Neurospora crassa OR74A: one gene and its partners. The main gene of each other region encodes a partner of the protein of the gene in region 2 in a complex. Links are inferred from orthologs where the notes say so. Each region holds a gene or a part of one and is shown on either strand. Other genes may lie near its edges.

The links.
Region 1: NCU06542 (region 2) and NCU00564 share a complex: the UniProt entries of both Saccharomyces cerevisiae proteins name them as parts of the mitochondrial small ribosomal subunit. The link is inferred for Neurospora crassa OR74A from reciprocal best matches to the Saccharomyces cerevisiae genes MRPS12 and MRP2.
Region 3: NCU06542 (region 2) and NCU05717 share a complex: the UniProt entries of both Saccharomyces cerevisiae proteins name them as parts of the mitochondrial small ribosomal subunit. The link is inferred for Neurospora crassa OR74A from reciprocal best matches to the Saccharomyces cerevisiae genes MRPS12 and MRP17.
Region 4: NCU06542 (region 2) and NCU07386 share a complex: the UniProt entries of both Saccharomyces cerevisiae proteins name them as parts of the mitochondrial small ribosomal subunit. The link is inferred for Neurospora crassa OR74A from reciprocal best matches to the Saccharomyces cerevisiae genes MRPS12 and RSM26.
Region 5: NCU06542 (region 2) and NCU08296 share a complex: the UniProt entries of both Saccharomyces cerevisiae proteins name them as parts of the mitochondrial small ribosomal subunit. The link is inferred for Neurospora crassa OR74A from reciprocal best matches to the Saccharomyces cerevisiae genes MRPS12 and NAM9.
Region 6: NCU06542 (region 2) and NCU01761 share a complex: the UniProt entries of both Saccharomyces cerevisiae proteins name them as parts of the mitochondrial small ribosomal subunit. The link is inferred for Neurospora crassa OR74A from reciprocal best matches to the Saccharomyces cerevisiae genes MRPS12 and RSM27.
Region 7: NCU06542 (region 2) and NCU08728 share a complex: the UniProt entries of both Saccharomyces cerevisiae proteins name them as parts of the mitochondrial small ribosomal subunit. The link is inferred for Neurospora crassa OR74A from reciprocal best matches to the Saccharomyces cerevisiae genes MRPS12 and RSM19.

What each region holds. Positions count from the first base shown.
Region 1 is NC_026501.1:7,986,317-7,989,834, reverse strand, and holds NCU00564 (mitochondrial 37S ribosomal protein MRP2), read left to right. Parts: upstream 1-1,644; 5' UTR 1,645-1,849; coding exon 1,850-1,956; intron 1,957-2,037; coding exon 2,038-2,209; intron 2,210-2,327; coding exon 2,328-2,390; 3' UTR 2,391-2,746; downstream 2,747-3,518. Other genes in the region: NCU00563 (hypothetical protein), read right to left, coding at 1-19, 90-205, 271-338; NCU00565 (lipoic acid synthetase), read right to left, coding at 2,897-3,192, 3,254-3,518. UniProt on the Saccharomyces cerevisiae protein: Component of the mitochondrial ribosome (mitoribosome), a dedicated translation machinery responsible for the synthesis of mitochondrial genome-encoded proteins, including at least some of the essential transmembrane subunits of the mitochondrial respiratory chain.
Region 2 is NC_026504.1:1,583,987-1,587,483, forward strand, and holds NCU06542 (putative mitochondrial 37S ribosomal protein MRPS12), read right to left. Parts: upstream 2,011-3,497; 5' UTR 1,868-2,010; coding exon 1,712-1,867; intron 1,557-1,711; coding exon 1,263-1,556; intron 1,129-1,262; coding exon 1,054-1,128; 3' UTR 873-1,053; downstream 1-872. Other genes in the region: NCU06541 (alpha-1,2 mannosyltransferase KTR1), read left to right, coding at 1-278, 343-410; NCU06543 (acyl-CoA dehydrogenase), read left to right, coding at 3,202-3,293, 3,393-3,497. UniProt on the Saccharomyces cerevisiae protein: Component of the mitochondrial ribosome (mitoribosome), a dedicated translation machinery responsible for the synthesis of mitochondrial genome-encoded proteins, including at least some of the essential transmembrane subunits of the mitochondrial respiratory chain.
Region 3 is NC_026503.1:614,291-618,320, forward strand, and holds NCU05717 (mitochondrial 37S ribosomal protein YmS16), read left to right. Parts: upstream 1-1,418; 5' UTR 1,419-1,680; coding exon 1,681-1,704; intron 1,705-1,840; coding exon 1,841-1,872; intron 1,873-2,134; coding exon 2,135-2,432; 3' UTR 2,433-3,131; downstream 3,132-4,030. Other genes in the region: NCU05716 (hypothetical protein), read left to right, coding at 49-737. UniProt on the Saccharomyces cerevisiae protein: Component of the mitochondrial ribosome (mitoribosome), a dedicated translation machinery responsible for the synthesis of mitochondrial genome-encoded proteins, including at least some of the essential transmembrane subunits of the mitochondrial respiratory chain.
Region 4 is NC_026501.1:6,129,407-6,133,611, forward strand, and holds NCU07386 (Fe superoxide dismutase), read right to left. Parts: upstream 2,667-4,205; 5' UTR 2,397-2,666; coding exon 2,135-2,396; intron 1,754-2,134; coding exon 1,083-1,753; 3' UTR 622-1,082; downstream 1-621. Other genes in the region: NCU07385 (hypothetical protein), read right to left, coding at 3,190-4,205. UniProt on the Saccharomyces cerevisiae protein: Component of the mitochondrial ribosome (mitoribosome), a dedicated translation machinery responsible for the synthesis of mitochondrial genome-encoded proteins, including at least some of the essential transmembrane subunits of the mitochondrial respiratory chain.
Region 5 is NC_026504.1:2,501,513-2,505,964, forward strand, and holds NCU08296 (mito ribosomal protein S4), read right to left. Parts: upstream 3,150-4,452; 5' UTR 2,961-3,149; coding exon 2,916-2,960; intron 2,728-2,915; coding exon 2,248-2,727; intron 2,146-2,247; coding exon 1,309-2,145; 3' UTR 765-1,308; downstream 1-764. Other genes in the region: NCU08295 (RNA-binding La domain-containing protein), read left to right, coding at 4,076-4,339, 4,404-4,452. UniProt on the Saccharomyces cerevisiae protein: Component of the mitochondrial ribosome (mitoribosome), a dedicated translation machinery responsible for the synthesis of mitochondrial genome-encoded proteins, including at least some of the essential transmembrane subunits of the mitochondrial respiratory chain.
Region 6 is NC_026502.1:2,520,064-2,524,657, reverse strand, and holds NCU01761 (hypothetical protein), read right to left. Parts: upstream 2,905-4,594; 5' UTR 2,701-2,904; coding exon 2,662-2,700; intron 2,605-2,661; coding exon 2,396-2,604; intron 2,332-2,395; coding exon 2,273-2,331; intron 2,211-2,272; coding exon 2,191-2,210; 3' UTR 1,652-2,190; intron 1,560-1,651; 3' UTR 786-1,559; downstream 1-785. Other genes in the region: NCU01760 (pumilio-family RNA binding repeat protein), read right to left, coding at 236-364; NCU01762 (nucleolar RNAse III), read left to right, coding at 3,167-4,225. UniProt on the Saccharomyces cerevisiae protein: Component of the mitochondrial ribosome (mitoribosome), a dedicated translation machinery responsible for the synthesis of mitochondrial genome-encoded proteins, including at least some of the essential transmembrane subunits of the mitochondrial respiratory chain.
Region 7 is NC_026502.1:3,811,106-3,815,287, forward strand, and holds NCU08728 (mitochondrial 37S ribosomal protein RSM19), read left to right. Parts: upstream 1-1,586; 5' UTR 1,587-1,965; coding exon 1,966-2,008; intron 2,009-2,108; coding exon 2,109-2,124; intron 2,125-2,425; coding exon 2,426-2,605; intron 2,606-3,067; coding exon 3,068-3,104; 3' UTR 3,105-3,356; downstream 3,357-4,182. Other genes in the region: NCU08729 (transcription initiation factor TFIID 23-30kDa subunit), read right to left, coding at 3,888-4,182. UniProt on the Saccharomyces cerevisiae protein: Component of the mitochondrial ribosome (mitoribosome), a dedicated translation machinery responsible for the synthesis of mitochondrial genome-encoded proteins, including at least some of the essential transmembrane subunits of the mitochondrial respiratory chain.

The DNA of each region.
Region 1 (3,518 bases), on a different chromosome or scaffold from region 2:
ATGATTTGGTTGACTGCCTCTGTTAGATTGCAACATTTGGGTCAGTATCAGCTCAAACTATTGTAAGAAATAGGGAGTTTGTTACATACGGTCGAATGCGAAGCGCTGGCAGTCGTTGTACCTCGTGTTCTTGGTCGAGAAATACTTGAAGTAGAAGTCGGGGTCATGCACGTAGCGAACTTCATCTTCCTCGTTGATGAAATAACTATACGCACAAGATATATCAGAGTGAGTGTCGTGGGAAGGATGACTAGGCAGATTATCACGAACCTGAGCTTCTTGAGATCTGGGGCGAACTTTGGTTCAGCCGGAAGGCCTGACCAACGGCGACGAAACATCTTGTATGTTGGAAAGTCGTCGAGTTTCCTGGGTGCGTTGTTGTGGAGGAGTCAAAAGACGGTTGCAAGCGAGAGGAAGGATAGCCTAGAACGCTGATCGCGTCGAGGAGTATTTAAACACTTCGTTGCTTGGAGGATCGCGAAGAAACTCGAAGGCCACGGAAGCGGTTGAAGATGGGACGGAAGGAGCCCAGCAGTTGTTCTTCCCTTCTCAGGCACAGAACGAGATAGGCGAAGTCGGAGTACGGAATGGGATGATACTAACGAGCGAACATGAGAAGGTAAACAGACAACGAACGAGACACTCGACTCCCTCTCCTCAGATGAATGGCCAAACCGCGATGACATTGCAACCGTCAAGGTGTTGACATACTGTAGGGTCTCTTGCCCATCTCATCCAGACCTTCCCCATCCCATCATAGAGATAACTTGCTTGACAAACAATTTTCATAGGAAACAGTCGCACACAAACCGAAAGCCGCTTCAACATGCAGGTGTTTCTTTTGGCAGGCTCAAGGTTGCTGCAAACGAGAGCAATCATCCGTAGACTGATAGAACGTATACTGCTAAACACCAGCGATCATCAAAGGCATTGGTAAAGGGTGCGTCGAACGTACGAAAGTGGTGGTGGATGTGGTTGTCACATGCGAACGGCAGGCATCAACCTTTGCAACCCGTGAACAACGTATTCGGTAAGGTACGGGTGAACTTAACACACTCGTTTCGCATACGACAACTACATCTTTGGTAGGTAGAATGATTCGAAAGGCACCACTCAGTCAACCCATCCAAAACAATCCTTCTTCCTCACACCCCCAGCCTGTAGCCAGAGATTGCAACGAAAAAGTGAAGATGAGCACAAAGCAAGTAGTAGTGTTGAGTTCGCGTCGCCTGGAGGCAGTGTAATACCAGGGACACAGTGGTCGGCAACCATAGGCAAGCCCAGAGGGATGCCGACCGAGTTGCAAAAATTAGAATAATCACGATTCTACTCCGTAGAGCAGTTTCAGAGATTAAACTGAAAAGAACAGATACTACACTTGATCTAAGCCAAAAGGCAAAGAGAGCTAAAGAAAAAAAGAAGAAAAAACCAGGTAAAAATTTGGGAGGGGGGGCCAGTCTTAAATAGGCCCAGATGTGGCCTGTGCACGAGCTGCAAGCTTGAGAGTTTGAGTGGAGCCCCGTAGAAAAAGTGCCGTCCAGCTGGTGTGCGACTGGCACACCTGGCAAAGTGTTTGTTGCTGCTTGGTTTGGCGCTTGCAACCTGCGATGAAAATGACACCGCCCGGCAGAATTTGTCGTTCCGCACGCGGCAGGGCTGGACGGCAAGCGCACAGGCCACTGGCCGCCGTGGGAGCCGGGGAGAGTGACTGCGGCTAGCGGGCGACGACGCCGGAGGGAAGCAACGACTGCAGTGCCTGTGACATCGATTTACGCGCCTCGATCCGCCGCTATCGACGCCCATCTCCGACTCAGCCCGCCAATCTGCCCCAGAACACCAAACCGCCAAAATGTCCATGTTTCGTGCCAAGAAGCTCGACCTCGGGTGCTTCACCAACGTCCGGGTCCTTCGTGACCACTCCAAGCGCAAGGCCTTTTTGGAGGCCGAGCCTGAGAGGTAACTACCTACGCCTTGCGATCCTTATTTGCGACTATAATAAGCACAAACGATCTGACGACTCCTTGCTTTATGATACAGACAAGCCCTGCGTTACGTTATTCGCAACACCACCCTCCCTGCCCGTACCAGGGCCGTCGCCCAGCTCCAGCTCACCCAGATGCATGCCTACACCAGGCCCACGCAGATCCGGAACCGCTGCATCCTTGGTGGAAAGAGTCGAGGTATCTTGAGGGACTTCAAGATGACAAGAGTATGTCGCTATCGATTGCTTCAAAGAAGGAGTGGTGTCCTAAGAGCTGAGCTCCGCATGGGAATGATGGAAACCTGCAAAGGCGCGCGACTTGCTAACACTGTTGGATCGCAAACAGTACAATTTCCGTATGAACGCCCTGATGGGTAACATTCCGGGTGTCAAGAAGGCCTCTTGGTAAAAGAGAGCATGGCTACAAGGAACCCAGAGGTTTGTTGTGGTTTGGAGATGGTGCCGGTACGCCCAGAGGCGAATAAACTCTGTTCAAAACCCAGATGGGCTCGGGCCATCGTGTTGGTAAGAAAGTATCACTGTACGCAGGGTTTTTGAGATACCCGTATAAGTAAGTGATCGCATGATGAGGAGTGCTTCAAAAGCTTTTCAGTGGGCAGAGGGAGTTTGTATGATGCATCCTTTTGGACATGGGAATCTCTCTCCCGATGCCCGCTGTGTAGAATTGTTGTTACAATATTATATTCAGACACGGCAAACGAATGAATGTCTTTTTCAAAGTAATCGAAAGAACCAATCTCCCCTAACGCCAAAACGCATGCAACCCCCAAGGTGCCTAATAACCGATCCGTCATCCGTCTGTTATTTTGCCCGCCACAGGATAGCTGTGAAAGCCTAGATCCCGATTATAAATGTTGAAACACGCTCCGCAAACCACATCTAGCATAAGCTGCCTCAAGAGGACTGGACGCTAGTCGCCTCCTCGGCGGCAACCGCCTGACCAAGAGCCTCAGAGACAACCTTCTCGCCAGAGCGCTTTCTCAAGACGTTCTCGATGAAAGCCTCGCCGGCCTTGTATGAAGAACGGACCAGAGGACCACTAGCGCAGTACAGGAAGCCCATGTCAAGCGCACGCTGCCTCCAGAGCTCAAACTCGTCGGGAGTGATGTACTTCTCGACCGCGAGATGTCTCTTGGTTGGGCGCATGTACTGTCCAAAGGTAACGACATCGACGTCGACCTTCCTCAATTCTACAAAGCAACATCATGGTCAGCATCCATCAAATGGGCAAGCGCAATTGGTATGACTTACCCCTCAAAGCCTCCCAGAGCTCCTCCTCAGTCTCACCCAGACCAAGCATGATGCTGGTCTTGGTGATAATGCCTTCCTTGCCCCGGACCTTCTTGACGTGTTCCAACACCTTCAAACTCTGGCGAAATGTGGCACGGCGATCACGCACGTAAGGCGTCAAGTTCTCAACAGTCTCAACGTTATGCGCATACACATCCAGTCCGCTCTCCGCCACAATCTTAACCATGTCCAAGTCACCAGCAAAGTCACCGGTCAAGGCCTCGAC
Region 2 (3,497 bases):
TGAGATTGGTAGCCTCAACTGGCTTCGCTCCAAGGCCTACACCGACTACTTCGAGTCTCTGGATCAGGATGGTGGTTTCTTCTATGAGCGCTGGGGCGATGCCCCGGTCCACTCTATTGCCGCCGGCTTGATGTTGAAGAAGGAGGAAATCCACTTCTTCAACGACATTGCCTACTACCACGTTCCCTTCACTCACTGCCCCACCGGAGAGCAGTTCCGTCTCGACCGCAAGTGCCACTGCAACCCCAAGGAGAACTTTGACTGGAAGGGGTATTCTTGTAAGTCTTACCCGGAAGTTCCCTTCTCTTACTGAGCCGTCCACTGACCCCAATCACTTATCAGGCACTTCGAGGTACTACGAGCTTAATGGTCTTCCGAAGCCAGAAGGCTGGCAAGATCAGTCGGATTAGAAGGAGGCGAAGAAGAAACAGTTCTGAGGGTGTGGGGATTAAGGCTTTATGTTGGGAAAACAGGTCTGCAAATAAAACCAAAAGCGGACATTCCCTAGAATGTATTATCGTTATAATGACTTTTTCGTTCTCAATTGGTGGTACAACCCAATTGCCTGGAAACATGGACCTATAAATGGGAAAGGTTGGGCAAAAACGAAGCTGCCTGTTCTGAGTGTTTTGATGGATAGGGAAGGGCTATAAGGGGCGTTAAGGAAATCATGACACAATCACTTAGGGTTAGGTTCGTTGTTACCGACTGCTGAGATAACCCTGGTATTGCCAGGTGTGAAAAGGCAAGCTGACAGCAACACAGTTGGTCCAGTGTCTCCGTCCTTCCCCGAAGTATTTCGTCTTCGGTGTTGTATCATCTTGAACATGGCCAGTCTTCGACAGTCGTAATACAAGGAATATGGACGCCGATATCCTGTCATGCACCTTTTATTTCCTTATAGTACACGGACACATAGTTTAGGATGCGGAATGATGAACTACATGGATGAAGCTTAACCACCTCCACCACGCTCACATCACATCATCATCATCCTACTGCCATGTAACCAGGGGGGGTATCATCTCAATTGTGCTCTGTTGTGCTAGCTGCTTAACCAACAGAGGCCTTCTTGGGCTTCTTGGTACCGTACTTGCTACGACTAGACATACGAGTAGCAACACCGGCCTGTTTTATCACCATTCTTTGTCAGCACATCATTTTCACAAACTAAACACTCATCTTCCCCTTTTTCTCCTTCTCTCCCATCCTCCATCCAGGGGTCTCCATCTAGGGATTTTTCTTCTCAGGAAAAAACTTACCAAATCCAAAGCACCTCTAACAAGATGATACCTCACACCAGGGCAATCCTGGGCTCTGCCGCCACGCACGAGCACGACGCTGTGCTGCGAAATGTTGTGGCCCTCGCCGGGGATATAGGCCGTGATGACCTTACCCGTGGAAAGACGGACACGGGCAGTCTTGCGTTCGCCCGAATTGGGCTTCTTGGGACGCGTGATGCCGACTTTGACACATACACCCTTGAGCGCGGGAGACTTGATGGAGGACAGGGCGGGGGAGACGGCGTGGCGAGCACGTTGGGGCTTACGGCAACCCTGGAGGAATGAAGATAAGAGTGGTTAGCTTTTGATCAGATTGAATTGGACGCGGGACATAGGGCTGTGGTAGTAGCACGGGAACCAAAGTGGTGATAGGTGCATAGGTAGGTAGAGGTAGGCGGGTTGGGGATAGCCTCATCATCATCACTTACCCTCATGACCTGGTTAAGAGTGGCATTCTGCGCCGGAGTGCTGGAGAACAACCGCGCAGCAGCAGGAAGGATGGAAGAGGACGATGGCATCAGCGGCCGTCGTAGCAGCGACGGCTGCGCCTGCGAAAACAAGTTCCGCAAGAAAGTCGTCGCCATCTTGTGATCTTGTGGATCTTGCTGATGGCGGGATGCTCCGAAATCGTCAAGTTCGGTCGGTCGCGGCGCGCAACAGGACGCGGTACAGTACAGGATAGCGGTTCCCCAGGCCGGGCCCGGCAGGCGCACGCAGGGCCGGCGGCGGCGGGCGGTACCAGTGTGGGAACTTTTTTCGTGTCACGGGATGACACACGTGGAGATAAGCTGAGCCAAGAAGGTAGCAGAGGTACGTACCTACTGCCGTGCTTGAGGGACGGAAGCCATTGGGTAAGCTCCGAGTCGTGTGCGGCAATCATCGGTTAGCTGTGAGCCTTCGACAAACTGACAGTCACATGGCATTTGTTTTCCATTCCCCTTCGTTTTCTGAAACTCGTTCGTTGGCACCTCATCATTCCATTTCTATCGCTCGTCTGGCTCTGTTTTCCCTTCTCGCTCACGATCCATGGTTTGCTATTCGCGATTAACGAGTCACGATCCACGGTCTAGCAACAATGGTCACCGCTCGCCGTGCCCCGTGCCCGGCCATCATCAAGGTCCATTCGAGAGAGAGTGCCCCTCCTCCGATGTCCCGTCTCTACCGTGTCTCCCCCAAATGCATCCCTGTCGTGGCCACCGTTTACCCCGGCCAAGGAAATCTTTGTGGGGAAAATGACCTCTTAAGAGGACCGCCCGATTCGGAGCTTTGTGAATGGTGGAGACCTTACCTCGGCAGAGGGGGAGACACTTGACCCAGCTGTTCACAGCATATCGGCCGTGTGCCGGCCAATGCCATTGACCTTTGTTACCCGCTGGCTTGGCTTTTGAATTACTGAGAGAGAGAGGGATAGAGAGAGCTAACAGTAGAGCTCTTGTCCCGGTTGCCCGTAGGTATCCTGCTATCAAGGTGTACGCACCTATCTCCTCGAATACCGCGTGGGCTTCTGCGATAATGATCTGTTCTGTATATCAAATGCATAGTGACAGGTTAGACACATCGAAGGTGTAGGAGATGCATACGATGCAAAGGTCAAGAGAAATCGGGACTCTCTTCACCTTATTTTGAGCCCACGCTGTCATTGTTGCCTTCCATCCAATACTCCACGGATCATCGTTACGGAGCTACATAAGTACATCTTTCATCTGGTCGTTAGTGTTAGCTCCGCTGTACCGTGCCCAGCGACTTATAAGTACCCGAAGCTCGTTCCATCACACCTCCAGTTCTCCTTCCCCAAGCATTTGATACCCTTTCCGCCTTCTTTTCTTCCATTATCTCTGTCCTCTTCGTTCTTCCTAGACAGCACTCGCGCCAGGTTTCCGATCGGTTCTTTAATCATCACACATACGCATCAGACACAATGAAGTCGTTCACTAGGGTTTTGCGTCCCGCCGTCCGCAGGGCTCAGGCAGTTTCCGCTCCCAGACTCTCCAGAACTCCCGTCGTCCAATGGTAAGTTTTGTCATCTCGTCTCATGCCTGGTCTGGTCTCAAAAGAGATGGGCTGGAAGAGGGAGAAGGCGATGTGCTAATACTTGGTTTCCCGACATAGCGCTCGCACTCTTTCCACCACCTCCCCTCGCCGGGACATAACCGATCTGCCGCCAACCCCCATTACCCACTTCTCCGAGGTTGAGACCGCCATGGCTGAGACTGT
Region 3 (4,030 bases), on a different chromosome or scaffold from region 2:
GTCTCTTTGCCCCTGCCTCTCATTCCCCTCGAACTAACATCGATACAGACGAGGACCGAGCAGCAGCAGGAGCCGGAAAACCCGTCGAGGCCATCGGCGCCGAAGCCGCCCAAGCCTACATCTCCTCCATGGGCGCCAATATCGAAAACGTTGAAGCTTTTGTGGTCCTTGAGATCGTCCGCGCCGACTCCATCGGCCAAATCACTCGCCAGGGTTTCGTCGAGGGGTGGTCCTCCATCTACCTCGACCACCGCATTCCCGCAGACCCGGCCCACCACAGAAACTACGTCCGGATGTGCATCCAAAACCTGCCTCAAAATCCGGCCTACTTCAAAAAAGTCTACCAGTTCGCTTTTGGCCTGGGTAAGGAACCTGCCCAAAAGGCACTGGAGAAGGACGTTGCCTTGGTATTCTGGGATTTGTTTTTGGGCACCGAGTCTTCAGATACAGGACTAGGACCGAGGCCGTGGAAGAGCAAGAACGTGGATTGGCTGGGTGCGTGGAAGCGGTTTTTGGCGGAGAAGTGGACGAGGAGCGTCAACAAGGATATGTGGAACCAGACGCTGGCGTTTGCGGAGAAGACGATGGTGGATGAGACGCTCGGGTTCTGGAACGAAGACCAGGCGTGGCCGGGCGTGATTGACGATTTTGTGCTTTGGTGCAGGGAGCAGGGGATTGCCAAGGCGCCTGCACCGGGGGCAGCAGGAGGGGAGGGGATGGATGTTGAGGATTATTAGAAAGTTGGTCATGAGCATCCGGGGAAGGAGTGTAAAGGATGAAGTCAAGTGGGTGGATGTGGTTATACGGGGGGGAGCATATGAGGATGTTGGTGAGGACTCTTTCGCCTTGGCGCAGGGAGGATAAGAGGGGCAAAGAAGAGAAGCACTGATGGTCATGCTGTTGCCAGTTGATGCTGGGAGGGCTTTCGGGGCTCTCATGGCGGTTATCATCTTGTTGAGGTTGCTGCCATGGTGGTCAAGCGGCGCATCGAAAGATCAGAGGTTGGTTCGCAAAGAGCAAAGAATACATTTACACAGCGCATTTCCAGATACACAATACCGATAAGAGCATGCATTTACAACATGAAGGCCATTCAAAGGTGTATGAAGCGGTTGGGAATGTTTTTAGAACAAGTCTGATTTCTCATTGCTTCTAGACCACATTATAACCCTTTAGGAACTTTTAAAACAGCTTTTCTGGAGGACCATTACACCCAACAGATGTCTCTACAATCACCGAGGTGACAGCTGAAGAGTCGAGTAAACAACCTCTCTCCCACCCACCCTTGATGAAGTGTGTACACCCCTATCCGGAAGGCGGTCAACGCGGCAGAATCTCGACCTTCTTCCTGGACCCCACAAAAATTTCCAAGCAAGCGGCGGCACCCGGACGCCCACTCGCAACCAACCCGCTGCGGCACTGCGGCAATGCGGCACTGCTGACGGCAACACCCACCACACCCTACAGTACTTGCTGAGCCCGGTCACAACAGCAGCCACAGCGGTACCTACTGTGGGGCTCCGAACTTCTTATCGACGTCCAAGGTTCACTAGGTAGTACTATACGCGCTTTCGGCCGGTCGCAATCGCATCGCATCGCATCGCGAAACTAAACTTCTTTTTGCGTTCGTTTCTTTCCCCGAACCGATTGCCCGCCGCCCAGCCCAAACTACCAGACAGGATGTTGTATGAGACTATTGGTATTGTGAGTTACCCTAGGGTTGAACTACAGGAGCAGGTTAAGAGATTGGGGGTACAGAAAAGGAAAGGAAATGGAAAGGGAATGGGAGAGGAGAGAGATGGAAAGAGACAGTCTTGCTAATGATTGCACTTGTGAACAGGTCCGCCCGGGCAACATCGCCGAGGTGAAGGAGTATGTTTTTTTCCCCTTCTCTTTGTTTCCACTCGATAGTCCGTCCGACTTGAAGAAAACTCCCTCCGTCTTTCCTTTCCCTTACGAACCCGACCCGACCCGAACCGACCGATCTTTCTCTTGTCTTCTCTTCTACCACATCATCCACGACCCTACCTACCTATCACCCCGACTCCGACTCCGAACCCAACCCAACCATCCCATCCTCTACCAACCTTCCACACCTCGTCGTACTAAACAAGAACCAATAAAAAAAAAACAGACTCGTCCTAACAGCCGGCAAACTCATCCTCAACCAAGGCGGCGTCATCCGCGACATCAAGAACTGGGGCACGTTCCTGCTGCCCCGTCCCATCTCCACCAACCAGCAGCGCCATAACCGGGGCCACTACTTTGTCATGCGGTACGACGCCAGCATCGCGACGCACGAAGAAGTCCGACGCACCATGAAGGCCGACCCGCGCGTGATCCGCACGGCGAACGTGAAGTTGGGCGATGGCAAGCTGGAGACGCTGTCGAGGTTTGGGGCGATTCCTTGGAGGAGTTTAGAGGAGGCGTAAATCTGTATCTTCTGGACGGAGAGCAAAAGAGGGGGCGGGTGGGGGGGGAATGTGTACGATGGATGGACAGATGGATGGGAAATAATGAATCGAGTCGAATCGAATCGACATATATCCATCCCATCTCCTTACCGGCTTGTGTATACCAAAAGGGCCGTGATGAAGCAGACCGGACAACATATATGGACGGATGGATGGCAGGCATCTTTATACCTTCTTACCTCCGTCGACAGCAACAATAAAAACGACCGAAACACCCACCAATAACGATCTGGGCCTTCGATGAGCAATGGTACATCGTGAACGCACGACACCTGGATAGCAACATGGGATACATACATACAGACAGGCAGCATACGTATCCGAAATCTTCATTGCGAATGGGTTGCGGAACCATCCATACCCACTCAGGTTGAAGGAAGGAGGAACCTGACTCCTTTTCGACCCCGTTAATGGATCACCGTCGTCGATCAAGAAGTTCTGGCGTGAATTAGGGTGCACTCGAAACGGTCAGAGTATCATATCAGTCAAGCCAGCTAGAGAACAAACTCCCGGACCCGTCTTTGTTCATGTACGATAACGCATGTGGAATGTGATCCGCTAAAGAATACGACGCCATATTCAGATTCCTTAAAGCAAGGTAGTTCATCGGTCCCGGCTCAACAAGGATGGCTTGGGATTAAGAAACGTCAGACACGATCATATTAAAGTTACGGGTGATCTTTGAAAACTTGACGTGAGGGCTCTTCGCTCAAACTTCATCCTCGTTTCAGTTACCACACTTGTATGCTACACTACCTCCCCTTATCAAATGTAGTTGATCGATCCTCTCGAGTTCCCAGTTAAACACTATGATATCAGTCTCGCCAACACACGGCAACACACGGCAACAGAGGCATGTTCATATCACCAAGTCAACACACATCCAGAACCGGGGCTCACTAAAGTGAGATTTAATGTAAACCATCTCTATCAATTACCTTCCACTACTTTCACTCGGCTACCTAAATAATGAATCACTCCAGTCTTCCCTCTCTCTCTCTCTCTCTCTCTCTCTCTCTTCAAAACGAAAATTTTTCAAATCCAGTCTTTCCACCCACCATACCAGCAACGCCCGGAACAAGCAAGCAGTAAACTGACCACCACCACCACCACCACCATCACCAACCCCCTTGACGCTGCGTTTGTATCCTACCACTTTATCCCGGCGTTTAGACACAAAAGACCCGGTAGTGAATGCAAGGAAGAAAAAAAAGGAAACACAAAAAAACGAACAATAAGAAAAACATAAACTCCCAAACTCCATACCAACCAGCACAACCGCCTGCAGAAGAAAACCAGGAAAGTCAGGAAATGCAGTAAAACCACGATCGGCCGATCTATGGATCGAGGCCACGCAAACCAAGAGTGCCGTGAAGCAAAACATCTGGAGCAGAAGAATGAGAAAAAACAAGAAAAGCATATCCCTCCGTGGAACCTTTTTGACGCGCTTCACAACTTCCCAACTGACAATTTCTCACCAATCGCCACCACCCACCGTGTTCCTCGCGCTCATGGGCAAGCAACCATGGGTAGTTCTTTTTCCCCGAAGGATCTCA
Region 4 (4,205 bases), on a different chromosome or scaffold from region 2:
TCAAAACCGGGACATTACACATCGATTGAGTGACCGTGAGTGAGTAAAGCCAGTTCGAACCAAATCTTTGACCGGATCCAACGTACGGAGTCCCAATGCGAGACATGACATGGCATGGCATGGCATGGCAATCGAGACACCGATACACTCACTCTGCCGTCCTTCACCGGTGCTCGGTTTACGTACCTACTTTTAGTAGCTACCGCGCTGAAACGAACCAGTGAGGTCTCGGCCAGGCAAATCTGATAACCTAACAGTCAATAGTCAAGATTCAGTTTGTCACCGATCACTCGGCATGGAGCCTGAGGCCTTGCGAAGGAGGAGAAATCAGAGGCTGAAACTACAAAGGTAGAAGGGCTACAACTGGCAGCGGTCAGGTATGTTTTCAACAGCTGATGTGTCGTGGTAGTTACCTAGTGAGCTGATATCGTGAAGGAAGCAGACATCATGCGGAGTAAGGAGTAGTCGGACATGTAGGTCCGTATGAGGTCCTTAGGAGATGTACTAAAAAGTTTGGTCAAGTAAGCAGAGAAGGTTGGATGTCGATGTCACAATGTGCGTCCATCTTTCAAAGTGCTATATTTACAATTTGCATTTGACCTATCCGTTTGTTGCTTCGTTGCCGTTATCCTGCTTTCCTCTTTCACACACACACACACATTTGGTTCATTGGTAATATACACATGTAAAAGTATAGATGGCAGCTGCCGGGGCTGGCTTGGTTTTTACTTTCCTTTCTCTTTTTCCGGCCGGTCTCACCGTCATGCTATCCTATCGTACAGAACAACTTTTCCCTATATATCCGGGTTCCATATAGACAGACAAAGTCACAGAAGTAACTTGGGCAGCAACCGTACAATAATCCATCTCCATCCCGTTCCACTCGCTCTTTCTACCCCTCGGACAAGGTGACAGCCGTCGGACTGTCGATGGCGGCGGCAGGCATGGACTGATGGACCAGTAGTCGCGAGTAATTCAGAACCAAAAAGTCGAGGCTTAAGCTTTCACGCTCCCGCTTCACTTCCTACTTCAATTCCTCCTCACTCCTCCCTCCTCTTCCCCCGCAGAATGGAAGCAAGAGGCTAAACAGAGCTATCACCGCCCGTCAAGATCCTAGTCTCCAGCCTGGCCTCCTCCTCGACCTTGGCCCAATCAATCATGTTCCACCAGCTCTGCGCATACGCCAGCTTACCACCCATACCACCCACACCAGTTCCGTATTCGCGAAGCCACGCGTACTCCCACGTGTTGAGGCACAAGATCGGAATCAAATCAGTGCCGCCGGGAGCCGTAGGTTCAAGCTTGTTGCCCTTGAACCCAGCTGCGCTGCGCTCGAAGAAGCGCTGGCCGTTGCTCAAGCCCTGGGGGGAGCTCCCGATGGAAGTCTGGGCGTCCATCTCCTGGCGGCGCCAGTGGGCGCCCGGGTAAGGAGAACCAGCCAAGTAGGTGGCCATGACGCGGAGGGCGACGGGCTGACCGGGAAGCTGGGTGCGGACGAGCCAGACGAAACCGGGACCGAACATGGAGACGGCGGTGCCGATCATCTCGTCGCGGAGCGTGTCGACGGAGCCGAAGTTCTCGTTGATGTGGTAAAATAGCTTGTCGCCCATCTTGACGGGGACCGGGGACAGGTGGTCGAAGAAGAAGTGGTTGTTGTGCGCCATGGAGGCGTGGTTGAACACATGGGCGAGCTCGGGGTCGCGTGCGGTGGCGAGGACGATGGACTTGGTGTCTTTTTGCTCAAAGTCGGTGCCTGTTTGACGAAAGAGAAGTAAGCAAAGTGGTTTGTCGGTTAGATATCTCCCATGCAGCAAAATAGGTGACATCATGTCTTCCCCCCCGGATAGGCAGGGCATGCTCTGGCTTGAGCTTCAATCCGAGTCCCCTTCCTTCTATTTCCTCCACCAATTCCTTTGTGGCCTAACCACTGCGCTAATGCCTCCTCTTCCTCTCAGGCTTAACAGCATCCCAGCTTGGCGTTTTCGACCAAAGGATACCAATTCCTCGCAGCCAGTAATCCTCGCACGTAACCTTCATCCATGCCATGCCGTGCTATGCCGTGCCACATGATAACGCAGCGACACCAAATTCCCCAGACGAGTATGTTCTGTGTTGCTGTGTCATCCGTACGTACCTACTACAAGCGCGTTAAGCTTCTCCAAAATGAAGGTCTGGTACTCGGTATAGGCCATGTTGACGGAGCCGGGGCTGAGGAAGTTGCGGATGCCCTCTTGCTCGAAGTTGTCGCGAAGCGGCATGAGGTAGTGCTGCCATCTCCTTTGAGCGGCGATGCTGGCGCCGGCGACGGCGGACTGGTTGGTGGCGACAGCGTTGACGGCACGGCCGAGGAGCGAGCTTGTCGCACGGGGTATCCTTAGACCCATGGAGCCGATCATTTTGTCTGTTGGGGTTTTTTTTGGTCTCTTTCTCCGCAAGAAAACGGCCCGGGGGTCGGAGGAAAGGTTCGGTGGAAGGGAAGGTCGGCCGGTCGTTCGGTCGGGGGAGATGGACGGTGGACAGTGTGTGTGGGGGGCGGACCTTGAGGACGGACGGAGACAACTTCAAGACTGGACGGGCTGCCGGCGCAGAGCGGACGCACTTCAGAACACACGGGCACTCAACCCCGGAAGACGGTCGAAGTGGGACGCGACTTTCGAGACTTTTTTTGCTCCGCTGCGGAAGGACCCGGCCATTGGAGCAGGGACCAATCGTTGGGACGAACTGGCGGCCGGCAGCCTCACCGTCCTCGCAAAGAGCCAGGTTTGACCCTAACCCTGGATGTTATTGAGAGGTACCTACCGTCCTTGGTGGGGTAGCTGTTTGCCAATTCCGGAGTTCCGTACTTGGCGTTCACATTGACTTGCGTCTTCAACCGTTTCGATGATGTACTGGTGCACAGATACTGGGCATCTTTCTCTACTTTGCTCGTGTATGTGCTATGTTCATTATCGTACTTTGACCGATATTCTGTAACGCTATTGTAAAATAATTCCGTGGACGCCGTTGCTCGAAGTCCGAACAACTAACAATAATCACGAGGCGAACTGGACGCCCTCACCGGACTTCCCCCACCAGTACTACTTGACGCCAAAAACGACCCGATGATGCAGTATCCCGAACAGAATGAGGAATATAAACAGTGAACACCGACACCCCCTTTGAATCAATTTCCCTTCCTTCCCTGGTCATTCAAACGTCGTCCTCCACCATCGCAAGAACATCAAGCTCGTTCCTGACCATCCGCTCGAACTCTTCACGACTGATGCCAGCGCCGCGTGACAGCTGGAATAGACTTCGAATCGTCCTTGAGACGTGCTGCTTAACTCCAAACTCGACTCGATCTTGCGCTTCCGCCGTTTCTTCGAGCTTGGCCACCATGCGGGATCCGTTTGAGCTGGCGCTACTGGCTGGGCGCGGATGAGCAAGGCTTTCCATCCTCTCCTCGTCCGCCTGGGACATGCGCCGGCCACTTGAGTCAGAACCGGACTTATCAGAGGGTGATCGGGATGGAACGTAACCGCCGTTGCCGTCTCCGTTTAGGCCCAATGGCGGCGGCGCTGGTGCGGACTTGATGACAGGCGGCTCATATGCCTGTTGTCTTGGCGACGGAGACCTGCGAAGGGGGAGACCATTAAGCGGTGCACCACCCCCCACAGCTCCGCCCTGGAAGGCCTCCTCGTCTGGATCATGGGGGTCCATGGCTGGCTGTACGGATTCGTATTGGGCGAAGTACGCATCTTCGGCGGACGGACTACGCTCAAAGGGATGGGGTTTTTGAGTGTTGAGGCCGGCGCCCAAGGACGGCGGCGCAGGAGAGCGGCCTTGACCGGGAGTTTGGGAAGGCGTGGCATCGTATCGGCCCCAGTAATCATCGTCGTCATCCTCTTCAACCGGTTCAGCTTGGACGGATACTTGGGCAACTGGTTTGGTTTCTGGCACAGAGATTTGTTGGGCCTTGAACGCCTTCTCTGCTTCATCGAGTGTAGCATGACCCTGGAAGGATTCGAGGGGAGATGGATTGCTGGCTACACCGACCTCGCCCACACGCCATCCGTCGCCGCCACCGTCTTTGTCGTTGACGCAGTACACAAGACGAATGAACAGGTCGAACTCTCCCAACACCACGAGGGTCTGAAGTGTCTCGGGGTCAGGTCTCCTGTACTTGATGTGGACGTCGTAATCCCAATCTATCTCCACTTCTCCCG
Region 5 (4,452 bases), about 920 kb from region 2:
GGAGTTGAGTTCCGAAAATATGAGGGAGAAGAAAGAGAGATAATTCGTTGGCTGTTCCCCATCAGATGTTTGCGGCGCAGCAGCAATCAGGCCCTCAACTCCCTTTCGCGGCTCTGCTTGCCCTTGTCTTCTTGACCGACTGTCGGCAACATCATGTTTCCGGCTGCCACCATGACTGACAAGTCGGTTAGGATGCTGTGGCTGGCGGGAGCGAGGAGCAATTCACAACCGAGAAGCTCATAGAGGGATCAGAAGGAGTCGGGTTTGAATTGTGCTCGCGACGTTGCACCATATGCAAGTTGCAAAGGGGGCGTAAGGGAACAGGCGGGAAATCTCACTTGGACGAAAAGCAACGAACGACCAGATATCCCAACAACACATGTATTTTATTAACTGCTTTCATCGGCGATCAGATGTTTTTATTTCACGGGGAATTCTTGTAGGAGGTTTTTCTTTTCACGGTTTACGGTCGGTCATACCCAACCCAACATTTCCGGCCGATTCTCTCAACTGGTGCTTCGCTCTCCAGCCACGGAGGGTTCTTGCTTACCACATAAAACATACACACACTCAACGTACACTTAGCCTCTCCTAGATAGTTATTTCTTAGCCTTTTTCTCTCTCGCGCTCTCAAGGCGAATTTTGCCGTCTTCCTCAGTGATAAGTGTTTACCTTTGCACTGCTCCTCTCGATCGACAATGCTATGATTGGCAATTTTACTATATAAGCACTGAGCTTTCAGAGAGGAGACCGTAGGTGTCTCGGTGGTTCTCATCTGTCTCATGACTTTCTTACGCAAAGAAGAAGGAAATTTGTCTATGCCCCTCTTTATATCCATTTAGTTAATAGTGGTAATGATACATGTAGCGTACATCGATGCCGAAGGGGGCGAACTGAATGAGTCTGCAACAGATTGTTCGGGTATTGAGGAACGAACAAACTGTTACGCGCAATGTGCCCAAAATACGTATGAAGTCAACTCATCTCATGCATGATCCATCCCCGTCTCCTTTTTCTCCGGGAATCGCGAGATTTGCCGCCCACTTCGCAGCTTTCTCATCGAGACCGAACCCGATTTCCAACGCATGGTCCAACTGAAGCCGCAGCAGGTGCAGAGTATCACATCATCCGAGGTTGCCTTGAAGATGCAACAAGCACAATAGAGCGTACCCGCGACATGCAAAAAACTGGGTGCGCGCGACTCTAATCGTCCATTGGCGAATTCTACCGCTCTGAGACGGCAGAGAGTGACTGCCGTTCCTCCCTCCATCTCCCCTTTTCATTCCCTCGCTCCTAACTAGACCTCCTTTAACCTCTCCGTAAGTACCAGTTGAACGCGAGTTGGTTGATAGTGGGGGAGAAAGGCGACGGTACTTCGGACTCGCCCGGGCGCGCCACGGGGTGGCGGAGGTAGACGGCCGCGCAGATGTTCTGGTTGACCTCAAGGTAGCGGGGGATGAACGCGAAAGCGGACATGTAGTTGCGCGGCCTCCAGGGGGTCATGTACGGCTTGCTCGGGTCGATCTCGTTGTCCTCGTGCTCGTCGTTGTACTCGATCACCTTCTTGAGCACCTGGCGCGACTGCTTGTCAAGCTTCTTGCTCAGCTCCTTGGCCGCCTCCTCCTGCTGAATGGCCTTGGAAGGGGAGACCGCAAGGCGCTCGAGAAGCATCGTCAGGTCGTCCACCACGTTACCGGTTGGCGAAACGGACCCGTCGCGCCGCTGCGCTTGCTTGATGGCGGCCTTGATGTCGCGCTTCAAAGCGCGCAATGCTTGCTTGCGCGTCGCGGAGAGCTGGTGAGACGGCGAGTCGGCGATGTGCTTGGCGTACTGCAGCAGACGTTGGAGCTGCAGGAGTTCGTACTTGCGGTTCCAGGCCTCGTCGAACTTGGAGGTGTCGACTTGCTTCTCCTTCTTGCCGGACTTGGAGGCTGCTTCTTGTGCCTCTCCTTCCTCGGCCTCCTCGGCCTCCGCATCCTTCTCTTCGGCGGCTTCCTGTGCTTCCTCCGCAAGCTCCTTCTTGGCGGCCTTCATAGCCGCGGCGAGGAGCTTCTTGTCCTTGGGCGCACCGGTCGCATAGAGGACGCGCTCGACGTCGACTTGGAAGAGATCGCCAGGGTTCAGGAGGTAACCGGGGTGTTTCATCTGCAAAAGGATCGGGTAATGTTAGCGCCGAAACAAGCAGCTTTGGCATGGGTGCACTGTATTGTGGGATTCGGTATTGGAACGTTGTGATGGTGTACATGCCTTCTTGCCGTTGACGGTGACGGCACCGTGCACAACCATCTGGCGGGCCTGTCTCGCACTGCTGGCAAAGAGGGCTCTGAATATGGCGATATCGAGGCGTCTCTCGAGAGGCGCAAAGGTCATTTGCTCGTACGGCGTGGGAACCTTCCTGCCCGGGTTGGCGATGACTTGCTTGGCAGGTTTCTCGTCGGCGGTCTTCTCGTAGGCTGGGGGCTCTGAGAGGCCGGAACCGCGGCCGGCGGCTTGTTCGCTGCCGTTATATTTGGCCATGTATGCCGGGTCCATGTTGACGACGGCCGGTAGGCGACGGCTAAACATGCGCGCCCATTTGCGTTCCTTGATGTGCTCGCCGTGGTATGCTCGTGTCAAGGACTTGGCGAGCCATTTCTGCTGGAAGAATGTCTTGCCGCTGATTCTGGGTTCTCTCCCGGCCGTAGCCAGGTTGTACAGGTTATATTTGTTCCATGTCGGCCTGATGGGCTATTCGGAAGAAGAAGAAGCGCACACAAAATACGTCAGCATGATCGCGTGTGGTGGGTGTTGAGTGTCGTGGCAATGGGACTGGCAGGTAGTAGGTAATGGGGCGAATGGGGTGATGATGCGGCGGCGGCGACGATGACCAACGGCAAACCCGGCGACGGCGGCATAAAACACCGAATAGCACATACCTTTTTCTTCAAACTGTGGTACTTGAACAACCTCCGGATCTTCATGTTGGGTGTGGTGTGTTTGGAGGAGCTTCGGGGGATCGGATCGGACTGTAGGCCCCGTGCTTTTGGCGAAGTGGACGGACCGGTTCGGCGCAGGTTGTTTGGAGATTGTCGAGTCCGGAGCGGTCCGGGGCACCTAGCAGCACTGCCAACGAGGGGAGCTTCCCGGGGCCCTTCCACCTCTTATCGGGCGCCGTCCTCCGAAAATTATTTCAGACCCGAATTGGAGCACGCGCTCGCCCATTGGTCGCATTCACGTGAGAAGCTCGGGCCACTGTGCGCGTCAACTCCAGGCCGGATGGTGGAGAACTGGCAGGCACAGGATGCGGGAGCTAGAGCGCATGCGGTATAGCTCCGCAACCTCTTGGCGGATTGCGGGTGCAAGTGGAGTGGGGCTAGAAGCAGAGCCAGGCGGTAGAAATCGGCACAAAAAGTCTAAACCCAAAGGCGGTTCCCTTGGACCTGGGTGGGGCTGATTTGGTTGCTTGCTTGGTTTCGCCGCTTCCATTTTTTTGCGCTGAGGGGGAGGTTTTGACAAGTGCAGTCCTCGATATGACTCCAATGCCGACAGACCCTGGAAAAAGTCAGGGCAGATGGGTTACGCTGCTGTATGATGATGGAGGGAGGGAGCTCAGTAATGGATGGACAAGACTGAATCAAACTCTCGATCTTTGACAAGGGAATTGAAGTGTGTGTTACAGTTCAGAATTATCGAGGTCCTACCTGACTTACACTACGTGACTACCTCTACACTTCACACACGTCCTGGGATTTGCTGGTGAATGGCCGACTTTCCTGTCGCGTCGATCAACAATCAACCCTGCACCAACCCAACACCATTCCCCCACTGCACCCTGCAATAACATTTTGCGCCTACCGCCCCAAAACTGGAGTGCACCTGAAGGACCCACTAAATAATTTCGTCGTTTTGCCTGCTTGGTCCCCGGTCTCCAGTGCACTTTCTGCATTTTCATCATCCGTTCACCATTATCTCTCTCCCGGCCATCTACATCCATTCTTCTCTTCCGTGCACGCGCGTCACGTTAGACGGTCAATTGCCTTTACAGCCGCTTGTACTTTACCCTTTCAAATACCTACAGGCCACTCCGACCTTCATCATGAGCGATACCACCGCCAACACTGAGGCTGCGCCTGCCGTCGAGAATGTTCAGACCGAGGTCCAAACCGAGACTGTAGAGGCCCCCGTCGCGGAGGCTGCCCCCGCCGCCGAGGAGGCTCCCAAGACTGAGGATGCCAGCAAGGAGGAGGAGAAGAAGCCTGAGGCTACCAAGTCTATCGACCGCGCCGACTACAAGAACAACAGGAAATACGATCCTTCGACCCAGCCCGTCACTGACGATCCCGTCAAGATCCGCAACCAGGTACGATCAGACTACAAAAACAGTTGGCATGCTGCGTGTCCCCGTGTCTAACAAATAGTCTTAGGTCGAGTTCTACTTCAGCGACAGCAACCTCCCTACCGATAAGTTCATGT
Region 6 (4,594 bases), on a different chromosome or scaffold from region 2:
GTGGGAGTGAGCGGGGCTGGTGAGTATCTGGCGGTCGCGTGTCGAGAGGTTTAGTCCCGACAGCTGCCAGTCCGCTGTAATGATTTTCGTCCCGAGTGTGTTGCAGTTCGTCGCCGTCTGAGGGCTGGCAAGGTTCTGACGACCCGGCGGGAGGTGAGGGCAGCAATTTCCCAAGACCCAAAAAAAGAACCTGAAACATGCAACTGAATACGTAACATACAACTAGAATACATACCTGCTGCAAGTTGGGAGACATCAACTCATCGGGAAGCTTCGTGTTCTCGTCCTGAGACTGCGAGAAACTCCTGGAAGCCGAAGCACGGCGCTCGTTGGGCGAGCCGGTGGATGCTGCGACGGCAGACATGGTCGTCTGCTGAGGGCTGGATGTTGAATGACCTAGCCTGAGGGGATTGGAGGGATGCTTTGGGTGCTGGTGTTTCACAATGGGAGGAGATGCTCAAGATGGTGATAGAGAAAAGCAGTAGATTTGGTTCCAATGGCGACGAAAGACACAGATAAATAGAAGCTTGGGGGCGAGATGACCACAAACCGCTTTTGAGAGAACACGGTTGGTGATGGCACCGACAAGAAGATGCAGAAAGAGAAGAAGCCTTAGAAATATGTGTTGATATAATGGGGAAAAGAGAAAGAGCTCCAAGAGCTGGTCTGGGACGGAAGAAAGAGTGTAAATGTGCCCGAGATACCCGTACTTTCAGCTACAGTTGCCCTGAAGTTGGACCTTCTCGCAAGGCAACAGCAACAAACCTCTTGGTGACGATGGACGCACCGGTCAGAATAGGGCTAGAGGTAGGTAGGTACCTCTAGGGTAGGTATGAGCCCGGGATGACCGAGACTAAAGTCGAAATGGTGGACCCTTGGCTCCCGAGGGAGGAAGGCACGATGGAACTGTGACCGGGACTGCCCAGGTGTCACTGCCCGGACACTCCAAGCAAAAAGGGGTTCACGATGCCTGTGAGATAATCCGCAATCTCTGTGATCAAAGCTCACTTGGGCTGCCATCAGATGATCTGACGAGTGAACGCACATCGGCTCGTCCATCCGAAGATCGGAATCGAATATGATGAGTCGCTGGGGAAGTTGCGACCGGTATTCCAGCTAACGATCATCGGCCTTTGGCGTCGTGCCTCCCGTCCTTGTGCCTAGCGGGATCCTTATCACCAAGCCGAAGTTTTTCACGTGTCGCGGGGACGTCGGGCATGATGGTCAACCGAGCCAGCGATGAGACATCCTGCCGCGTTAAGGACCTTGCTGTCCGGCTGCCACTTCCCATACGATCAACGGGTTTCTGGGTTAGGCGTCCGAGCCCCAATGACATATTCCGAGTTCATTAGGCGGTATTCATACCTAGGTGTTCATGTCACCTGCCATTCGGTGTGATCTACCATTCTTCGTCGGAATGAAAATGAGTAGAGTAGGTAGGGAAGCATGCAACGTCTGGAAGCTTCAACAAGACAGCACCATCACCTAGCATCGTGGACATTAACAGATAGGAGTGGCGGGTCGGCTTTTCTCGTCCGGTAGGGCTGGGATGCCAAGGTCTTTGCAAATTATGGTAGGTGTGATTAGCTTCCTTTCCTATCCATTTTTATTTTGGAAAAGGCTTGAAATGGAGCAGGAAGAGCCAGCGCACCTTTTCACATTCATGGCGTTCTTTGACATGGACGGCTTGTGCAAAGATCTTGGGTGATCCGACACTCGCTTGTTGTTTTCACCCAAATGATCAAAGCTGTTCGTAAAGAGGGACAATGGCGAAGGGTCATATCCTCCCTCAAGCCCATCCGCGCTATGGAATCAAGATACGGTATCTTCAGCTTATCAACAGGCGCTTCTTTGTTCGATGCATCAAGAGACTTGTGTAGACGCATGGGAGGACAGTCCCGAGATGAACCTTTGACAAAGCTGGTAACCACAAACCTGCTTGTCGAACTAGGCGGCTATTCAACACCATTTGAAGGGGCAAGTGCCGCGGGCGTCGCTAACCATATGTACAGTTGTGGCAGCACCTCGTCACGGGGAGACTGTGATGGCATCAAGTACTGAGCGGAAAAATGCATGTCGAAATGGACCAACTGCCGGAGGAACGCCAGGTATTCGGGGTATATGATTCTAGTCCGCCCACTATATGATACATGTACACGTCGTGTAGTTCTGATTTCGGGACGCCGTGTCTTATTTCTTCTTCTTCGCATCTGTCGCAGAATATGAACGTTAGAGATTTGAACCGTGAGTAAGAGGTGCAGACGAAACCCACCGGCCGCCGAGGGTGCCGTTCTCTTCTTCTTGGGCGCTCCCTTGTCGCGGGCTCTCAGACTGTAAGGTATGGTTAGATTGTGATGTTTGCAAGTAAACACTAGCAGGAATGAGAGAGACGAACGCTGCCAAGTGCTCCAAACGATCATCATCGACCTCATCGTCAACCTCGAGACCAAGAGTACCGAACTCCTTTTGAAGCTCGCGAATACCGACGTTCTTGCGGGGGTAGTAGGTCGCAAGTGCCGGGCCCTTGAGTCGCTGACGCAGGATCTTGTTACCGGTCCGGATGCCTTCGGGATTGAAAGTCGTCGAGAAGAGCTCGCAACGAGCCTAGGTATAACCTAGTTAGCGAACTGGTTTTTCCCCTCATTCGGAACTGTTCCATACCTTCACAAGTTGCAGTAACCGCGCCCGTGGGACCGACATCTTGCCGTTACATGGAATTGCGGATTCGCGAATTCTAGAAACAGCAACAACAAGAGCCGCCGGATTGTTCGACGTCGTTCAGAGATCTCCCGCTCCAGCCCGTCAAGCAATGCGCCACCAATCATAACCATTCATGGGTACAAAGAGTGGGGCACGGACTGCAACCGTTGTTTTCGAGCCGCAGTGTCCCCGGGCCGTCAGCGCAAGCCCGCTGATGAAGCCGAGGGCGGCGCGTTCCAGGGCTGACAGGCGCTAAGAATGACAGCTACGGGCCATAACAGGGCAGCAGCAGCGCCCTGATGTGGATCTGGGGTCGAACAGGGGGTTAGGGTTTCCACTACGCAATGGCCCGGGATTCGTTCTCATCTTGAAGAATCCGTTTTCGATTCTGCCTCTACAATTTCATCGCCGCATCAACGCGCGATCTGAGGCATTCGGATTGCTTGTAGGAAAGTACAATCTTGCCATGCCGAAACACGGACCCACCCCGGAGGAGGTATCAGAACCGCCCTCCAAGCGTGCGAAGTCAGACTCTGCACCATCCGCATCACAAGGCGCTACATTGGAGTCCGCAACCTCCGTCCAAATTCCTTCTTTGCATGCCAATACCAAATGGACACTCGCTACCATCCAGAGAATGCGGCCACCGCTCCCCGACATTCTGGACCCGGCACTCAAAAAGGCGGCGCTCACACACCCTGGTAAAGCTAACAACGACCCTGTTGCAAGTTATGAGAGGCTGGAGTGGATTGGCGACGCTTATCTTGAGCTCATCGCCTCCTCCTTCATATATCAAACTTTCCCGACCTTGCCGGCTGGCAAAAGCGCACAACGTCGCGAGATGCTTATCCGCAACACCACACTAGGCGAATTCTCGGTCTATTACGGCTTGGACAAGATGGCCGATATCCCGGAAGAATTCAACATGGAGGGCAGAGTGGGCGGTACAAACGCAAGTCAAAAAGTCAGAATTAAGATTCTCGGAGACCTTTTCGAAGCCTATGTAGGAGGCGTGATTCTTTCTGATCCTGCCAATGGGATTCAGCGTGCTTCAGACTGGCTCAAGGCCCTATGGGGCCCTCTCATGGCGGAGTACATCCGCGAGGAAGAGAAGAAGGCCAGGAAGCCGGAGCAAAAGCAATCCGCAAGTGGCCAGACACTCGACCCAAAGACAGTACTCGAAGCTACCATTGGAGCCAGGGGTGTCAAGATCGAGTATAAAGATCTCCCTTCCAAAAACCTGAAGGACAGGGGAACCAAGCTGCCTCTTTTCGCTATTGGCTGTTTTATGACAGGCTGGGGGGAGACCAACCTGCAACTTGGGCACGGAAGTGCTTTGAGCAAGAAGGAAGCTGGTCAGAAAGCAGCTCAAATGGCCTTGGATAACAAGAAGCTGCTCAAGAAGTTTGCGGACAAGAAGGCGGAGATGAAGGCCGCGCGGGAAGCCCAGCTGCAGCAGGCAGGAGTGACGTTCCCCTTGAAGGATCAGCCTTCGGCACAGGAAACCACTGGCGGCGTGCTGTAGCGACCAAGTACTGTTCGGTCTCATATGCCCCTGATCTTTAATACTTCGACACACCAACCATCACATGCCCGTAGTCTCGTGGTTTACCTCGGGCGTCGGCCATGAGAAGGACGCATAGCAGATGAATTAGGCCATTCATTACTACGGGTAAACGACCCGGGTTCAAGGGAGGACCAGGGACCGTTTCGTTTGCACATACGAAGAGAAACCACAACGAACAAGCTGTGGCCAAAGTCGATGATGAACCATCTTGTTCATCCACAGGTCAGCACCTCCTTTCATAGTTAGTAGAGATATCCATCAGGCATCTTCGGAATGTTATACCCCTACCTGGAGTGTTCGTTACTTTCAAAAATATGGAGGCTTATC
Region 7 (4,182 bases), on a different chromosome or scaffold from region 2:
GACCAGTCAATTTTGGGAAAGACGACCTGCTGAATCCGTTCAGTGGAGATGGTGCCTGAGACGGCCTGGTTCAGTTCCGTGCGCGCGAGCAAGCTCAACGGTGGAACACTCCGACACGCAATGCTAACGAGCCAGTCGGCGTCTCGTTATGATGGTAGAATTACTCGTGGAGCACCATGCCGTTATAGTGACCGTTCAGCCCGAAAGAGGAGGGATCTGGAGAGCATTAGATCATGTGAAGAGACGGGTAACACTGATACTCAGGCACTCGTCCGCATTTGCGGTAGTCCGACAAGTTGATCAAGGCACACTCAGACACCCAGGGACGGGAAGTGCTCCCTACTAGTTTATTCCGGGAACGGTTGATCTTGATGGGTAGCTAGTGCAAACAATTGCGCAGCAGTCGAGCTGCTTGATGATGATGATGATGATGATGGAAGTTGGAACTCCATGGCTGGCTGGATAGTAAACAAATGCAGCCCTGTTCTCAGGTGGCTCGCGGGAAGAACGAATGCGGTGCCCTTCTCGGACTTTGCGCGCAGACTGGTGAACCGATCAAATGTTGATCAGACCGACCAGAGGGAGGGGGGGCATTCGTCTGAGGGCATCGACGATGCAAGCACACCCACAAATGCGCAAAACAAAAAAAAAAGAGTGACGGATGGTGAAATCCAAAAAGAAGGTCGTTGTGAACGCGAACGGGAAACCACGGCCAGATAGATATATTGACTGCGGTGGCGCTCTTGCCTAGACGAAGAATCCATGACGGCCCAGTCCATGCCCAGGCAAGGCAAGGCAAGGCACAGCACGGCAGTTCACGCCTGCCTTAAACTACCTACACTACGTCCTACATTGATGTACAAACATCATACATACTGTAGTGGTGGCGAGGTGTATGGAACTTGAAATGCTGAGGAAGGAGCAACACTGAAGAAGACGGAGTGCACGATCGATGTGAACCACTGAGCTGCAGTCAGGAATCGACGGACGCACGCCGGTTATCGGCCACCACCAAGAATGCCAATAGTCCGGAATCCGGGATGCTATGTTTTGGAGTATCGCAGTCGCGTTAGTCCTGAACCAATTGACGGCAGCACGGGCAGCAAGTGTCTGAGAGTGCCAACCAGTGCCGCCGGTTTGCTAAACGGTATGTAAGTCATATAATACTTGCTGTATCCTAGTTCGAGTAACACCAAGATTTCGGCCCCAAGTGCTGCTCGAGCAGGGGGGCTTGCCAGTACAGGGGTAGGTACCTGTAGGGTGTGGTGCACGAGTCACACCACCATAGCATTAGATTCAGCAGTATCGTGCATAGATTTTCTTCTTCTTGCGCACCCAAGAAATGCACGATAACACAAATTGGATGCTAATTGATCTTTGCCATCAGGTAGACCCCGCTTTCTCTGCTCACTAAGCAAGTGCCGTTTGACTGAAGATTTCCGTACCTCTCCACTGCAGGGTTGACATCCATCTGTATATTGACGGTAGGTTACCTTGACAAAAAGAGGTGTTTAGAGGGTTATCATCGTAGTGTAATTATGGGGGCGTTGCTTTTAGATATCGATAGACAGGGTTACCCGTGCAGGGGTTTTTGCTGTATCGATAATCGCTTTGATGAATGCCCCCTAACCCTGTAGAAGTACCTACTGCGTACATAGGTAGCCAGGGGGGAGAGTCAGCGGGGGCGTCCGTACTAGGTATGCCGGCCGGCAACCGATAAGCTTGGCAGTTCCAAAATTCGGCCGTGGTCAGCGCTCCCGTCACTGCCGCCGTCGCCGTGATACCTGGAACCGCTCCGCCCGCCCGCCTGCCGGACTCGCCGACTGACTGACCGACCGACCGACCGACCGACCGACCGACCGATTGATCTCAAGACCATCCGAGTGTCGCGTACGCGCCCGGCCTCTTCCCGCTATTTGCAGCCACCACCCATCACCACCGAATTCCTTCTCGTTCGCGCCCAACATGCAGCCAACAAGGGTTCTTTTCAAGAGATCCGTGTGGAAGGGTAAGTTATTTTGTTTTGTCTCCTCCTAAGCTTCACCTTGCGATAATGTACTCTTTGCGCCGTCCAAGACAGTCAAGCTAACCCGCATCGCCGACTCCAGGTCCGCACATTGTCCCGTAAGCTCTACTACCCCTTCCCCTCGTTTCTGTCCCCGCGATCTCAATGACGACGACGACGACGACGACGACGACGACGACAATTCAATGCGCCGGCGCACTCCCGAGGACTCTCTCTCCTCCCTGCTCCCGATCAAAGCTGCCGGCGCATGTCCATCATTCTCTACGAGCCCATCCCGCGACATTCCCCTCCATCCGCGAACCAACGCAGTCCAACCGAATCCAACCGCAACGCTACAAGCATAGTCACCTATCTTGAGCGCAAACGGGCACTAACCACCAACGCATACACACAAAACAGTCTCCCCATCCAGCGCCCCGAGCCCGGCAAGAAGATCGCTCCCATCCGCACCCAGGCCCGGTCCGCCACCATCCTGCCCAACTTTGTCGGCCTCAAGTTCCAGGTACACAACGGCAAGGACTACATTGACTTGACTGTCACCGAGGAGATGGTGGGGCATAAGCTTGGAGAGTTTTCTGCGTAAGTGCTCTTTCTTTCTTTCTTTTTTTTTTTTTTTGGTTCTTTCTTCCCCTACTTTCACTAGTCTACTTTTTTCCTTTCTTTTCCTTCTTTGACTATTATTTTTCAATTTCAATATATTATTTTTTTAAAGGGTCTTTTTTTTTTCCTTTTTTTTTTTTTTTTAAGATGGCGGCGGAAATGCCATAAATGTTGGCGGTGTGGGAAAAGAAAAAAAAAAAAAAAGAATTTTCCTACACAAAATTCAATGGTCTGACACGGCATGGCCATGGCATTGGCTGGTGGCAAGCCATGAATGGCTGGACGGGCGACATGTGTTGGACGCCACCACGGGATGATGATGATCGTAGGCGGTGGTGCAGTGTGGTCAGCAGAAAACAAACAACACAAAAGACACACATTGGGCATATGGACATGAACAATTGGACCGACACTAACTGAATGGTTCAAAACCTCAAACAGTACACGCAAGCCCTTCATCTGGGGTAAGAAGAAATAGACAAACCAAACTTCGTTCGTCTCTTCAGTGATGATGATGAAGAAGAAGAAGAAAAGAGAAGAAGAAGTCGATTGATTGATGGATGCGGGTTTGACACGTTTTTTCTGTGGGCGGCGTTTATTTCGGCAAAAAACAAAAAAGCATATTTTCGTTGCTTATCTGTATCATACCATACCATTGTCAGAGGAGGGCACAGGTTTCTGTACACATATCATATTTTGGGGCAAATTAGAACTTTCGCTTGGATTCATACTACTGTGCTGTGTCTGTTGTTTCAAGATGAACATGTATATGTTGTGTAGTGTGTAGTTTAATTATGCTTTGTAATTGATAAAAATATGCTAGTATCGCCAGGTATTATTATTTTTAGCCTAGACTAGTAGTCATAACGGGTTCACTGAGAGCAAACAGGACGATGGCAATCTTCCATAACGGCGCCTCCTGAACGCCAAGCGCAAAAAAAAAAAAAAAAAAAAAAAAAAAAGGAAAAAAAAAAAGGAAAAAGAAAAGAAGACCCGATGACCCCAAACCCCTTTTGCACCGTTCCCGTGTTGGACCCTTGATTGCCGACCCTTTGCCCATCCATCCATCCATCGATGCATCATCCTCTTGATATCCTCCTCCTTGAGCAAGTAACCACTTGTTGCCGCCCCTTTAAGATAGTATCATCCTTTGGTCTGCCATGCCACCATTCCGCTCACACTCAGGCAAACCACCCACCGTTTCCCCATCCCTTCTCATCAGTAGAGCAGACAGTCCTGCACCGTGACCGTGACTGCCCCCCTAGCGATAAAACTCGCTCCTCTTCACATTAACCCCAAACTCCCCTGCCGCCATGCCCAAATCCTCCATCGTCAGCACCGTCCTATTCTGGCTGCCACCCTGTCCACCACCACCGTACCCCGGCCTCTGGATACCCAACGGTCCACCTCTGCCCTGATCCTTCGCCCCCGCCGCCTGATTGGTCGGTTGTCCAGGAATAGGGAACCCCGCCGCGGCACCCAGACTGCCCATCGGGTTGTTCGCGTTGGTGTTGGATGCCCTGATGCGGGAATACTGGTAGGCGTCGGCGGCGATG